Linked DNA regions of Caenorhabditis elegans. The protein of the gene in region 1 interacts with the protein of each later gene in a biochemical or structural test. Each region holds a gene or a part of one and is shown in the gene's direction. Other genes may lie near its edges.

What was found.
Region 2: the proteins of ctdh-1 (region 1) and dhrr-1 interact in a test that uses a peptide from one of them, tested with the Caenorhabditis elegans proteins (one large-scale study listed by BioGRID).

Annotation. Positions count from the first base shown.
Region 1 is NC_003283.11:9,675,159-9,681,258, forward strand, and holds ctdh-1 (CalciTonin/Diuretic Hormone 31), read left to right. Parts: upstream 1-3,118; 5' UTR 3,119-3,128; coding exon 3,129-3,298; intron 3,299-3,704; coding exon 3,705-3,843; 3' UTR 3,844-4,144; downstream 4,145-6,100. Other genes in the region: ZK287.9 (Activin_recp domain-containing protein), read left to right, coding at 4,262-4,366, 4,683-4,792, 4,846-4,984; ZK287.4 (BPTI/Kunitz inhibitor domain-containing protein), read right to left, coding at 5,217-5,500, 5,657-5,893, 5,940-6,100.
Region 2 is NC_003281.10:8,941,147-8,947,731, forward strand, and holds the start of dhrr-1 (G_PROTEIN_RECEP_F2_4 domain-containing protein), read left to right. Parts: upstream 1-3,510; 5' UTR 3,511-3,668; coding exon 3,669-3,829; intron 3,830-4,652; coding exon 4,653-4,778; intron 4,779-6,585.

The DNA of each region.
Region 1 (6,100 bases):
AAAAAACATTTGAATAAAATCTGGGCAAGCATTTGCCAGTCGTTGCTGATATAGTTAGAGTTTGAAACTTCCAGAAATTACCAAAACTGTTTACCGTTTACCGATACTTCAAGCACAAAATCCAATATTAAAAATCGTGATTATCCCACCTCATAAGCATCTATTTGTTTGCTAACCAAAGGATCTCTGCTTAAAATTTATTTAGACTTCTCACTCTTTCCACAATAATACCAGTTAAAATGACGTATGTAGTTTCGTACCTCTCCAACTACATTTCATCAGTCGTTCCCACCACCTCCACTGTTTTCTTAGCTCCACCTCCTTTTCTTAAAACGAAACATATAAGAAGCTGTGAATGAGCCATCTTCTTCCAAAACGCCTCCTCAGAAGGCGTGGGTTGCAGGTGTTTCAAGGATCCACTCGAGTGGACGACTTCTTCGTTTTGCTAAATTGTCTCTGAAATATTTATTGCTTTCTTGTGGGAAATACTCTAACAAGAGAAACTTTCTGTAAAGTTTGAGCTCATTTTTGTCTGGATTTTCTCTGAGCCAATGGGTTGTAATAAGTTGTTTTTTAGAGCCTCGTATTTTATTTCTCATTTAATCATTTGCCTGCTGATAGTTTTAACTTTGTGAAACTTTTAAAAATTTAACTTTTATTGTTGCTGTTTGCATTTTAATACCTTTTTAATGTTGCCATTCAAACTGGAGCAGCGTTAGTGGGGGTTAACAATTTAGAGAAATTTGACTTTATTATAATCAATTACAAATACTTTAAAGACAATTAAAATATAAAATCCATAGCGAAAACTTTATTTTGGTCGGTTTCCAAGATGAAGTGTGGCAAAAACTGGGTAATCACCACTTTTTGAGTGCAAATTTAAAAATTTAGAATGTTCTTGAATAGTCCTCTGGAAGTACTCCACCTTTAATGTGTGATCATAAACTTTTGCCACATTTTTTCATTAGTATCCACTTTATTCATAAGTTATCATCATAATCATCATAATTTGTGCATCATCTTGCTCTTTTGAGTCATCATTTCATTTAAACATTTACACATACACTCTTACAACCATCCAAAGAACATGAAGTCTTGGTGAATAATACACGACAGTCGCATTACACTAATGGGCCCATCATCATCTATCTTGCTCCCACCCGATTTCTTCCTATTTTTTACACGTGACATAGACACAGTTTCAGTCGTGTCACTATTGCCTTGCTGAAAATTAAATGTCACTCAAATTTACTTCCTGTGACCATTTCACAACACCACACACTTCCGGTCGGCTGGAATTAAATGATTATGAATTATACCTCGTGGACCTACTGTAATGAGTTATTAATAACGTTTGTTGCAATTTAAATATTGAAAAAAGACATCGACTTTAAAACTAAAGTGATACGTGATAATCATTTGAATCGTTGCCTAATTGTTTGAGGTGAGATGGAAATCTCTTTTTAAAAATTTACAACCTCGTGACAATTTCATAAAATAATATTTGGTGTTTAGCTTCGGTATACAAGTACAAGCATATGGTGTCTACAGTAACTACAATAACCTTTCTTGTAATACTTCAATTTCAAAAATAGTTTTTATGTTATAATTGGTATACTAAATAATAAAGACCTATGTTGGTACTGGCCCATTATATTTTATGACGTCTCCTCTCGTTTTACTCATTTTTCCCAAACGAAAGAGCACGTTGGCAATGAGCAATGTGATTTTAAGGAAAAGAAGGGCGGAGCCACCAGACCCATATGCAAAGCAATCCCATTCCTGGTCTCTGCCTTTTTTCCTCGGTGCTCTTAAAATCCGTCTCCTCTCATTTTTACCGCAGTGTTTTGTGTGAACGATTGTTAGGGGGTGAAATCTAACAAAATGAGGAATTGGGTTAGGAATTTGGAATGTGTGTTCGCGACGATATTTGCAGTGTAATGGATGAAGAGTTAAGTGAGGTTTAGAGATCATTCTGTGCTAGACAGATAGATTTGTGTTGTTACAAAGGTAAGTTTTTTTTATAAAGTAGCTTATCTTATCAAAACAGAACTTTTTTGATTTTAATATCTCCCTAAAAGCTTTTCATTTCTCAGATGATGTTCGGAGTTGTTTTATTTTTGGAATTCGATAACTGGACTATTGTATACTTTCGTTTATACTGCTCGATCAAAACTTTGTTATTGCAAACTGTGAAACATTACTAAAGGATCATTTTTGTCAATCTTACGTCTGACAGTGAGAATAAATTAAAAATTAAACAAATCAGCTTTGAGCGGATTTTGCTAAGTGAGGTACTCCGATTCCAAAAAAGTTGAGTTACTTGTGGTGATTTCACCAAACACGGTAGGATGAATTCTTGCGTACCCTAATTATGAAAGTAAACTTGATGTTTATAATTTTTCAATTAATGGCAACGTAACACTTCTTATGAACACTAGAGTTATAAATTTGAGTCCACTTTTGTAAAAATATATATTTTCACTTTTTCACAAATTAACAAAATACGAAAACACGATTTTTCTTTCTTTTCACGATATTACATCCCACTACTTTGCTTTGAACAGTTATGCAAATTGTCAAAGTTGAACTGATGGGTGGAAAACTAGCAGAGGTAGAACGGTACGGTGTACAACAAAAAATATTTTAATGCACTTGCTACCCGCGTCTCGCCTCTTTTTAAGATTTTAAAAATTTTTGGTAACAAAGATTTCCGATATCTCAAATTTACGCACCGTCGACCACATCTTACCTCATTTTCCAGAATCCCTTTAAAATTATTTGCGTCATGTGTTATTGATAGAGGTATATATAATATCACTCTAAAAGTATTACCTATACACTACAAAAATTGTATGTCTATAGTTATAACGGTTCTCAATAAATTGCCGAATAACAGTCAACAATTTTTCATTTTCCATTTTTATTGACATCGAGTATTATCGACACATTAACACCAAACTACTAGATTTGATTGACTTTTATGCTTCTTTTCTATCTTTTCTCAATTGCCCATATTTATTTTCAAGTGATTCTTGTTCTTTAACTAATTCCCAACATGTCGTTTTTCTTACTGCTCTTATTTTGAATCTTGCGCTAATTCTAGTTACAATTAAAGGTAAAACAAAATGAGCTGCTCCTCGTCATCGATGCTCTTCTTGGTGCTCATCGCGACCACTGTGCTCATCGCCGAGTCTCGTGTATTCTATAACCGATTCGACGGCGGGCTCTCCTCAGATCGTTTCATGGAGCAGAAAAGGGATGGTGCTGAAGCCTCGTACGACTATGACGCCAACCAGTGAGTTATTACAATTTTGAGAGCTTTGACATAGAGACAACGGAAGAATATAATTGAAATCGGCATCGAAATCTAAAAAGGTTGAATTGGAAAAACTCAGATAAATTTAAATTTTTTATGTGTAAAACATCTGAAAATTTGAAAAATATTGAAAACTTTGAAAAGTCCCTGAATATCTTATGTTACCAAATTTAACTTTCAGTTACCTTATAAAAATATCCATCGGAGTATTTTTCCCCTTTTTTCTAAACATTTAATTAAAGTTTGCCCTATTATATCATGAGTTTCCCCACATTTAGGGTATTCAGGGTAGTCACCAAATTTTGTTTCAATTAATTCAAATTTTTAGTGTTTTCATAAAAAATCTTTAAAAAATATGTTTCCATTTTGTAAGGCAAAGTTTCAGAGTAATTCGAAACACAATGAAGCGCAACCGTCAATGCCTTCTCAACGCTGGTCTCTCTCAAGGATGCGATTTTTCTGATCTCCTTCATGCTCAGACTCAAGCTCGCAAGTTCATGAGCTTTGCCGGACCAGGAAAGTGAAGAGAATCGAGAAGGACACCTCACCTCAAAAGCGACGAAAAATTTACAAAATATTCTTCCAAAGCAATCAAATAGTGCACAATTTTTACAATTTTCAATTGTATATAAAAACTGAAATAATCAACAATAAGAATAATAATTTACATTCAATCAAAAATAATAATAATTTGAAACAAAACAATTCTCTCGATCTCTTTATCCATATTCTCCATTTCCTTTTCTCTCTCTCTCACTCTCTCCGTCAACTGTTTTTTGCCCATCAATGCACTCACTCTCTTTGAAATGAATGATTACAACTGTTAACTGTCAATTAATGTCCTGAAACTAAAGTAAGTGACGCTAGGCGGGTGGTTGTAAAACCGTGTCACTAATCAAAATTTTGGGAAGGCTGCCATGTTATCACTACTGTCATTTCAAAATGACGCTGCGGCTCCAAAAGTTTATGGGTTTACTGGTTTTTTTACTGGTTTTATGTCTTTTTGATGATGCTTTTGCTTTAAAATGCTATGATTCAGAAATGCAGGTAAGATTTATCGTAAATTAGCTCTTTTAAAATATATTTTCTGTTTGAATCTTTAGTTTTCGAAAGTTTTTGAATACTTGGTACCGTCAAATAATTTGTTTTGTGGATTTCAAATATGTTTGTACAGTACTTCGAGAACAATTCTGACATTTGCAGTATCAAATTATGTAATTAATTAAAATTTAAAAAATAATTTAAAATAAATCATTGATAGTGTCTGACATTTATAGAAGTTTATGACCTCGTTATTTTTTAAACCCTGTGCTAAAAATGCTTTTTGATTCAATTGAAATACTTAAAATAAACGTAACTTCAGACGGCAAATTGTGAACCTATTCAATTATGGTGTATCAAGTTTATAAATGGTTCTACAATAACTCGTGGATGTGCAAATGTGAACGACTACTGTTATGATGAGGATGAAGGGTATTCTTTTTGTTTTCTTAAAACATTGTTTTAGCAGTAGTTGCCTTTTGTAGATGCTACCCGACACGCGAGGAAAATGGCGTCACACAAAAATGGTGTTGCTGCCAAAAAGACATGTGCAATTCAGTAAATTCTCCCATGGCACTTTTTTCAGTTTTCTTTATAGTTGTTTCGTTGTGGGTATACTTTTGAAGCTTTATTTTCAATTTTAGTTTTTTTTTTAATTTTGAATTCTTTCAACATAAATAAATAAACTGAACAACTATGAGGTTATAAAAAAAAATAAACAATGCATTGAATGTCAAAATTTACATACATGGGGATGAGAATGAGCAAAAAATGATAGTTGCGAATTTCGCATACTTGACCGAACACATTGTGTCTTTCCCGTTTATTTGAGGTTTTGAACTTATTTGTCAATTAGTCAATCATCTTCTACAATTGGATCATCATTCATTGCCATCAGAAGACGCCTTTTGTAAACAAGATTGTATCCTTGATTACAGCAAAGTCGATTGCATTGAGAATTGCTCACAAAGTTGTTCAGACTTCCAGTGGGTGAGAAAGCAGCTCCACGACAATTTTGGAAGCTAAATCGAACACATCGATCTGCCAATGGATCGTAAGTAAAACGAATTTCACGGACAGGTTCGAAGTCTGGACCAGAGCAAACTGAGATTGGTGGACGGGATTGTAGGCAGAAGTTCACTGAAATTAATGAAAATATGTGTATGTGTTATTGCACACTTTGATGTGCGAAACAGTATTTTTTGGTGGTAGGCGTAAGTGATTTTTTTATGCACAAAGATAGTTGTTTTTGTGATACAATTCTGTGTTTTTAACTACACAAACAGTTCAACCTACTTGGTGATGGACAACAATATGCTTCGTTTCCTCTCGGAGTACACACATGATCACCGGGACACTTTGCTGCTTTCGACGGATCACATTGAATAGGCGTGCCATCAACAGTAATCAATGGATCTCCTTGTGGACACATGTTCCTCGGCACGAATGTGAATGGAGAAGAAGTTACCGGTGGTGATGGCATCAGAGTTGGTGGTGGAGGAGGAACAGCCGACATTGGACTGTTGGCCAGAGCTATGAATTGAAAACTAGTTAAATATTCTCATTTGAATGAACTCACAACTAAATTTAATTCCATTTGCCACACATGTTTCCAGACAATCAGTAAGTGAATCAAAATTGTTCTGATTTCCACCTTCTCCAGAATATATAAAATGAAGGCATTGTCGATATTCCGGAGAGAAGAAATACCGGGAAAGATATTGATCTCCTTGACCACTA
Region 2 (6,585 bases), on another chromosome or scaffold:
TTTTTTGAACGATGAACGGCAACTATTTTATTACATGTTTGAAACTTAAGAAAAATTTCAATAGTAAAATTTATGAATAAATTTGAAACTCAACACCTTTTTTGCAAATAACAACAGAAGCCATAATTTTGAAAACCCACCCTCGGTAATTAGATTGTTGACACTAGTTAGGCTACAGTTTCCATAACTCTTTTCTTCTTTTTCTTGTATGCTCTCATCAATTCTTCCTACTCAAACCAGTCATTCATTTTGTTTCAACCGTTCTTGTGTCACCCGATACTCTGGAAATTTGCCTTCTTTTTGTTTCTATCATTTCAGTTTGCCTTCCTGTCTAACACGTTCGCAACATTATTCTCGATTTTAATATGGGGTTTTGTTAGAACGTAGAGCGATCAAAGATCATAGAAACATAATTTAAGAGATTTTTTAAACCTTAAGTTTTAAAAATAGTTTTCATTTTGCCAATTTTGTCGAATTTTTTGAGCAATAGATGTTTTGATGATGGTATCGTCAGTAGGAAAATTTCGAAAAATTTAGCAATTTTAAATTTTCCACTCTAAACTCAAACCTTAAACTTAATTTCTCAACAACCCCGCCAGACAAAAAAATTAAATATATTTGCCTTACCAGGATATAAGACTGAACTTTACAAGTATCAAAAAATCTTAATTTATTTTCAGTCTTACACGTTCGCATAATAATTATGCAATGAATTAACATGAAACTATTGAATCTTTGGTTATCTGAATGTGTGGGTAGGAACATGCATAGAAAATGAACCAGTTCATAGACTATAATTAACCAACAGAGCATGTGTACCTGCATACGTTGACGAAGATTGAGCCGACAAGGCAATCTCTTTTTTTCTGCTGCGATTTTTGATGATGACATGTCTAGTAAGGGAGAGCTTAAATTTCGTTCTTTTTTAAATTTCATATTTATCTGGTGGATTAGTTGGGAGCAGAAATATCAATGCATTTTTGTGTTGCTACTAAATTTTCTTATTTTTAGTAACTAACTGTAAGATTTTGGAGCCTAAGCTTCCATGTGCTCATTTCGGAAAAATCCTAGTACCAAAAGTAAAATATAGAACTTCTAGAAAATATTTTAACAGAAAAATAATCTTAGCACTTTGGTGTAGTCTTTACATATGGTTGATCAAAAAACGTGGCAACAATTATACGGTATCCATCTCTTTCACCTACTCTATGTGTTTTCCACAAACCCATTTCAAAGGAAAACCTACAATTTATTTCCTAAAAATAACGTTTCACTTATAGTGCCTATTTTCTGAATTATGAATTCTAAGGAATATTTTCAGGTAAAATTTGCACTATGCTAAAAAGGAACATTCAGGAAATATGCAAAATTTGTTATTCCTGATGATCCTTTAAATAATGCATGTTTTTCAAAAATGTTGATAGCATTTATCCGTTCGTCTGTTAAAAGCCCAAAAACCGAGCGAATTTAAATTATTTGAATACCGATATGCCAAAAAACTTGCAATTTTTTTACCTTTTGGAATTTTAATTTTAAACTGCGAAATCGAATCCATTCTTAATTGTTTTTGGAACTCGCAGAAAGCTAAGGAAATTCAACAAAAATATCAAAAATGATCAAAATAAAACGGGGAAATATTTCAAAAGAAAAATACAGCTGTAAGTGTTTTGCTATATTTCACAATTTGCCGATAATAAAATTTTCCGGCAAACGCCAAAGTCGGCAACTCCCTTTGCCGACCGGCATTTGCCGCCTACCCCTGGATTGACTGTTAAACTATAAACTTATAGGTTTTTCATCCATTGCGACATTAAATTTCTCTTCTAACTTTCTCGCATGTGATTTTTCCAATTCCTCATAGCTTTTACAGTCGCCTGACTTGTATTCTCTCATCCATCAATGTTGTGTCTTCTATTCTCCTTTCTTACTGATTTCCAACCACCGTCATGACAACAAATCTCTAATTTTCACAATTTCCTCCGACTATACACATTTGTTATCTATTTTGAGACAATTCCCTTATATAAAAAAGTAGTCACTTAGGGTGGCGGGATGTCTGACGAAAAACATATTGTTTCCCAGTAACGAGTCATTTTACTGCTCGCTTTCCCACTTGGTTCTTGCTCATGAAGATTTTTTTGAATTGGAAAAACATATGAAAATAGATTTCATGTTGATGTTGAATGTCTTCTCACTTTTTGCATCAAATATTTTACTTTTACATATACCGTATTTTTTCTAATAATCTTGCTCCCCTCTAAACCGGTCAAAAGTTAGTTATGCGTGCAAGACTGATAGAGAAAATACGGTATGGAATTTTTACAGTAGGGTTCGTCACAAAAATGTCTCAAATTACCTTTTTTGCAGAACTATTTTCTAAACATTCTCGAACGATTTCATTATCTCATAGATCAATATATAAATTCTCAGATTATGAGTCATGAAATTTTTTACAATAATGAGATTCAATATAGTCGACCCTAACAGATAATTCATGTCAGAACAATGATGTATTATTGAGCAGTAAAAGCACTTTTCAGAATTATAAATCATCAAAAAAGCTTCAGGATGGAATCCTGGAGTTGTACTATTAGGATGGTGTTTTTGAGTTTATTATCACGATAAAGGCTTATGCCTTATTTACTTCAATCGTTTTATAGGACTTAGTGATAATATGAAGGTTGAGGAAAAGAAATAAATAAAAATTCGGTATTTTAGAGTAGAATATTACGCAGTGTCCATTTATTCTGTCGCAGGATTTCGACAAAAAATGTTTTCGTTTTCCAGTAAAATAAACATAAGAATGATTATTCGAAGTTTGCAACTCCTTTTTCGCGTTTTAAATCGGAATTGTCTATTTCGATAGTTACTGTGTATTTTCTACTAGTAATGGCTGCTCTTGGTTGTATTTGTTGTCATGAAAAAATTGTCAACTGAAAAAATAATTTTCAATTCTTTTTCTGTAGTTTTGCAATGAACTGTTTATCGATATCTTCAAAATCAACTAAGTTTGAACCATTCAAAATGGATCAATGGGGTGTAGTACTAATAAAGAACATACGGTATGTTGCAACTGTTGAGGTTAAAATGGGTATTTTTGAGCCATCTTTTCCCTACTTTAAAATGATCTTGCCAGATCCAGTTTAAACATGGTTAACGTATTCTTGGAGGCAATCCATAATTGTCGAAATTGCCAGTTGCTTTTTTGTGAGCCATTTAGTGAACATGAACGTTGCCCAGATGGACTGCAACCCGTTTAGAAATAAAATCATGGCTATGATTCATTTTCATAAAAAGTTCATTTCCTTACAAGCCGCTTAACTATGACACTAGAGACCCCACACAAAGTCATTCCAAAATTGAGAATTCACTTCCTACTCGTATTCTCTGAATTCCTCACATTGAGGCATCACAGTTCACTTTTTTCTCAATTTTCTTTTCTTATTTCTCATTTATTTTTTTTTACTTTTCTTACTTTTTTAGAATTTACTTTCCCACTCCATTAACATTTTTTCAGTAACCTTCGACCATTCCCAAATCCTCATTTTTCTTCTTCATTCTTCAGTCACCTCTCCAACTGCGCCTCCATCACAAACACGACTGCGGACTTGCAAGCTCCGCCCATCTTGCTCGCACTTTTGAAACATTTCGTCTCTCCGCCTCCCACCATGAATCCATCGATATCCACGGCGGGAGCAGTCGTCGACGATTTTCAGATGTCATGCAGATTTTCAAATTTTGGAGATCATGCACCTGAATCATTTGACTCACTTTCCTGTGGAGCATGCTTCTATTTTATTTTTATGCTCGTAGAGCACTATAAAGATAGGTGAGCAGAATGGAGGCGCCTTTTTTTGTTCCTTATTGAAACAAGGACTCTATTATTTATGAAGCTTCACCTCTTTTCTCTATTTCAAATGACAATTAACACTCCGCGGACCTTTTTGTGGTCTCTTATGGTTGAAGCTATTATTAGTTTGAAACTATTATTTGGAAAGTTCCAAAGTTTAATTTTTAAATTAAAAATATTTCATGAGTCATTCAATTATTTTTAAATATGAAATGTTTGTTGTACTAAATCGGGATTTGCTTCTGAAAAATTTACAGTACTCCATTTTAGCAACTTTTAAAATTTTTAATTGATATATACCTTAAAATTGAAAATGTTCAATTTACTAGTTTGTATTGAAAAAATATTTTTAAAAATTTAATCTAAAGTTTTGCAACTTTTTCAAATGTTTGAATTATTTTTCCAAATTTTTCAACAGAAACATTCAAAACCGGACTGTGCGGAAATATTTTTGCAAAAGTAGAAAACTGCAATTTCAATATGATAATCCAACGTTTTTAATCAAGTTTTGATATAGCAAAGTAGTAGACTTGTTCCATCTGAAAATAATATTTATTTTAGTAAAAAAGTTTGCAAAAGACCTCAAATGTTGTATGAAACTGTTTGAAGTCTCTTTGAAAAAAGATAATTACTGGACAAAAATGTAGAGATTTTCTCACTCTCCTCAAAGCCTGTCTGGAAAGCAAAATAGATAGGTAGGCGGGCTTTCCCGCCTGAATAAAAAATGTGCCTGTCTATCACAGATTTAAACTAGTTCTTTTATTATCGCAGATTCTTCATTATATCCAAAAATGTGTTTCAGATACGTTGCAAGTCTTTGTGAAGACACTTTCGGAGTACTAGTATGCCCAGTTGATGTCAGTGACAAAATTTGCAATTGCTATAATCGAGAATATGTCTACAATATTCCGGAGTTCGCACTTAATTCGTAAGTTTTATAACTTAAATAGTTCACCTTGGACATTAATATATTGTTGTTAATATTTGTAACTTTGGAAACTTTAAAAGTTATTCTTGAAATTAATAGAAAGTGTATTTTGCTGTCAAGAAACATCCTTGCGTGCAGGTTTTCTGATGTAGTTTAAAAAAAATGGAAACCCAATTTTTGATCTCTGATACTTTTGATTTGAATAATTTTTGAAACTGTAATATTCATTTAAAAAATTGAATCTAGTCTTATTCATTTCTTTTTCTCTTGCATCCGAATGTCAACGAATTGTCTCAAATTTCAACCGGACGTTGCTCGAAACCTTGTGCTCATTGATCAAAATGTTGAGCAGATTTTGGTCCTAAAAAACGAAAGCAGAACGTATCCATTTCTATGAATGCAAAGAAACATACCAGAAAAAAACGCGTAATACGATTACCTCTTTCTCGCTAGTTTCCATCTATGTTTAGTCTATGAAAAAAAGGACAAAACGAGCACTGAGTGAAATTGTCTCAGCGGCGGCGGTGGCTCTTTCCATCATTTCCACTCCTTTTCCGCAACATTTCGCACAAATTTAAAGGGTCCCCGAATGCTTGAAAGAAATAGTATGTGAGACGAAGAGACGCACAGATTCACTGACCTCTTTTGCTTATTTCTGACCATGCACACGCAATAGGAAGAAAGGTTCAATTGAAACAAGAAAAGTCCTAGTTTCACCAACAAAAAAAGTTTGGAGATTGGTGAGGGACAGGGGATTTTAACGCTTCCAATCGGTTGAAAGCCAAAATATTTTACACTTGCGGAAGTTTGGATATTCTATGGAAATTAGGTGTGAAAATTTAACAAAAACCTTAAATTGGCATTAAAATATATAACTTAAATATTTCATACTACAACAAAAACTGAAGACGGAGCCGCAGAATAACGGAAAGTTCCGTGTAAGAAACGGGTGACTATCGGACAAATCTACCGTAACATATAGTTTTTCGTTACGAGACCCTTGAAAAATTACTAAAATTTCAACTGTTTTTTCAAAACCTTTCCTTGCACAAGTATTCCCTAACAAGAATGGTTTTTTCCAGAGCTCAAAAATTCAACCAAAAAAGTTTTGAAACTAACAAAAAAAGTATATTCTCTCCGGGGGATCTGAAACGTTTTTTTGCCCATCATACTTTTTTCTTTAAGAAAAAACTCCTGGATTGACAGGAGGGTCTTTTTGGAACTCTTGGGAACTCTTGGAACATTGATATGTCAAACATTTTGGAAAATTTGGTGCAGAGTGAATGACGAGCTTTTTTTTTCGTTTTTTAGGCCTCTTTTTTGAACAATTTTTGAAATTTTCCAAAAAGACCGGAAATCTACGGTGACAGGAGGGACTAGGGATGTGTGAGTCAGACGGGAAGTTCAGATGAATAGATTTGGAAAGTTTGAAACTTTTTTTTAGAAATTGTGATATGTATGACCTTTGTGTACTTGAGAACCAAGGAGCGAAATAAAATATGAAGATTTTTTCAACTTCTTTTGGCTGTTTGTGATTCGTGCCGAATGTTATGCAATTTACGCAACAGTAATGTTCTTATTAGTTCAGAAAGTTACATTAGGATAATTCAATTTGTTGGAATTCTAATGGGGAAGGATTACTGTAGTTTGAAGGATTAGCACTACAAGGAAATTTTTCCCTTTTGTGACTTCAAATAGTAAACTGCAAAATTTTAAGTGGCAAAGTTTCATTCTCAACCCCTAAAATTTTTTATTTTAATTTTAATACTAACATTAACAAAAAAGTTCTGATTTTTTTGCAAGATTT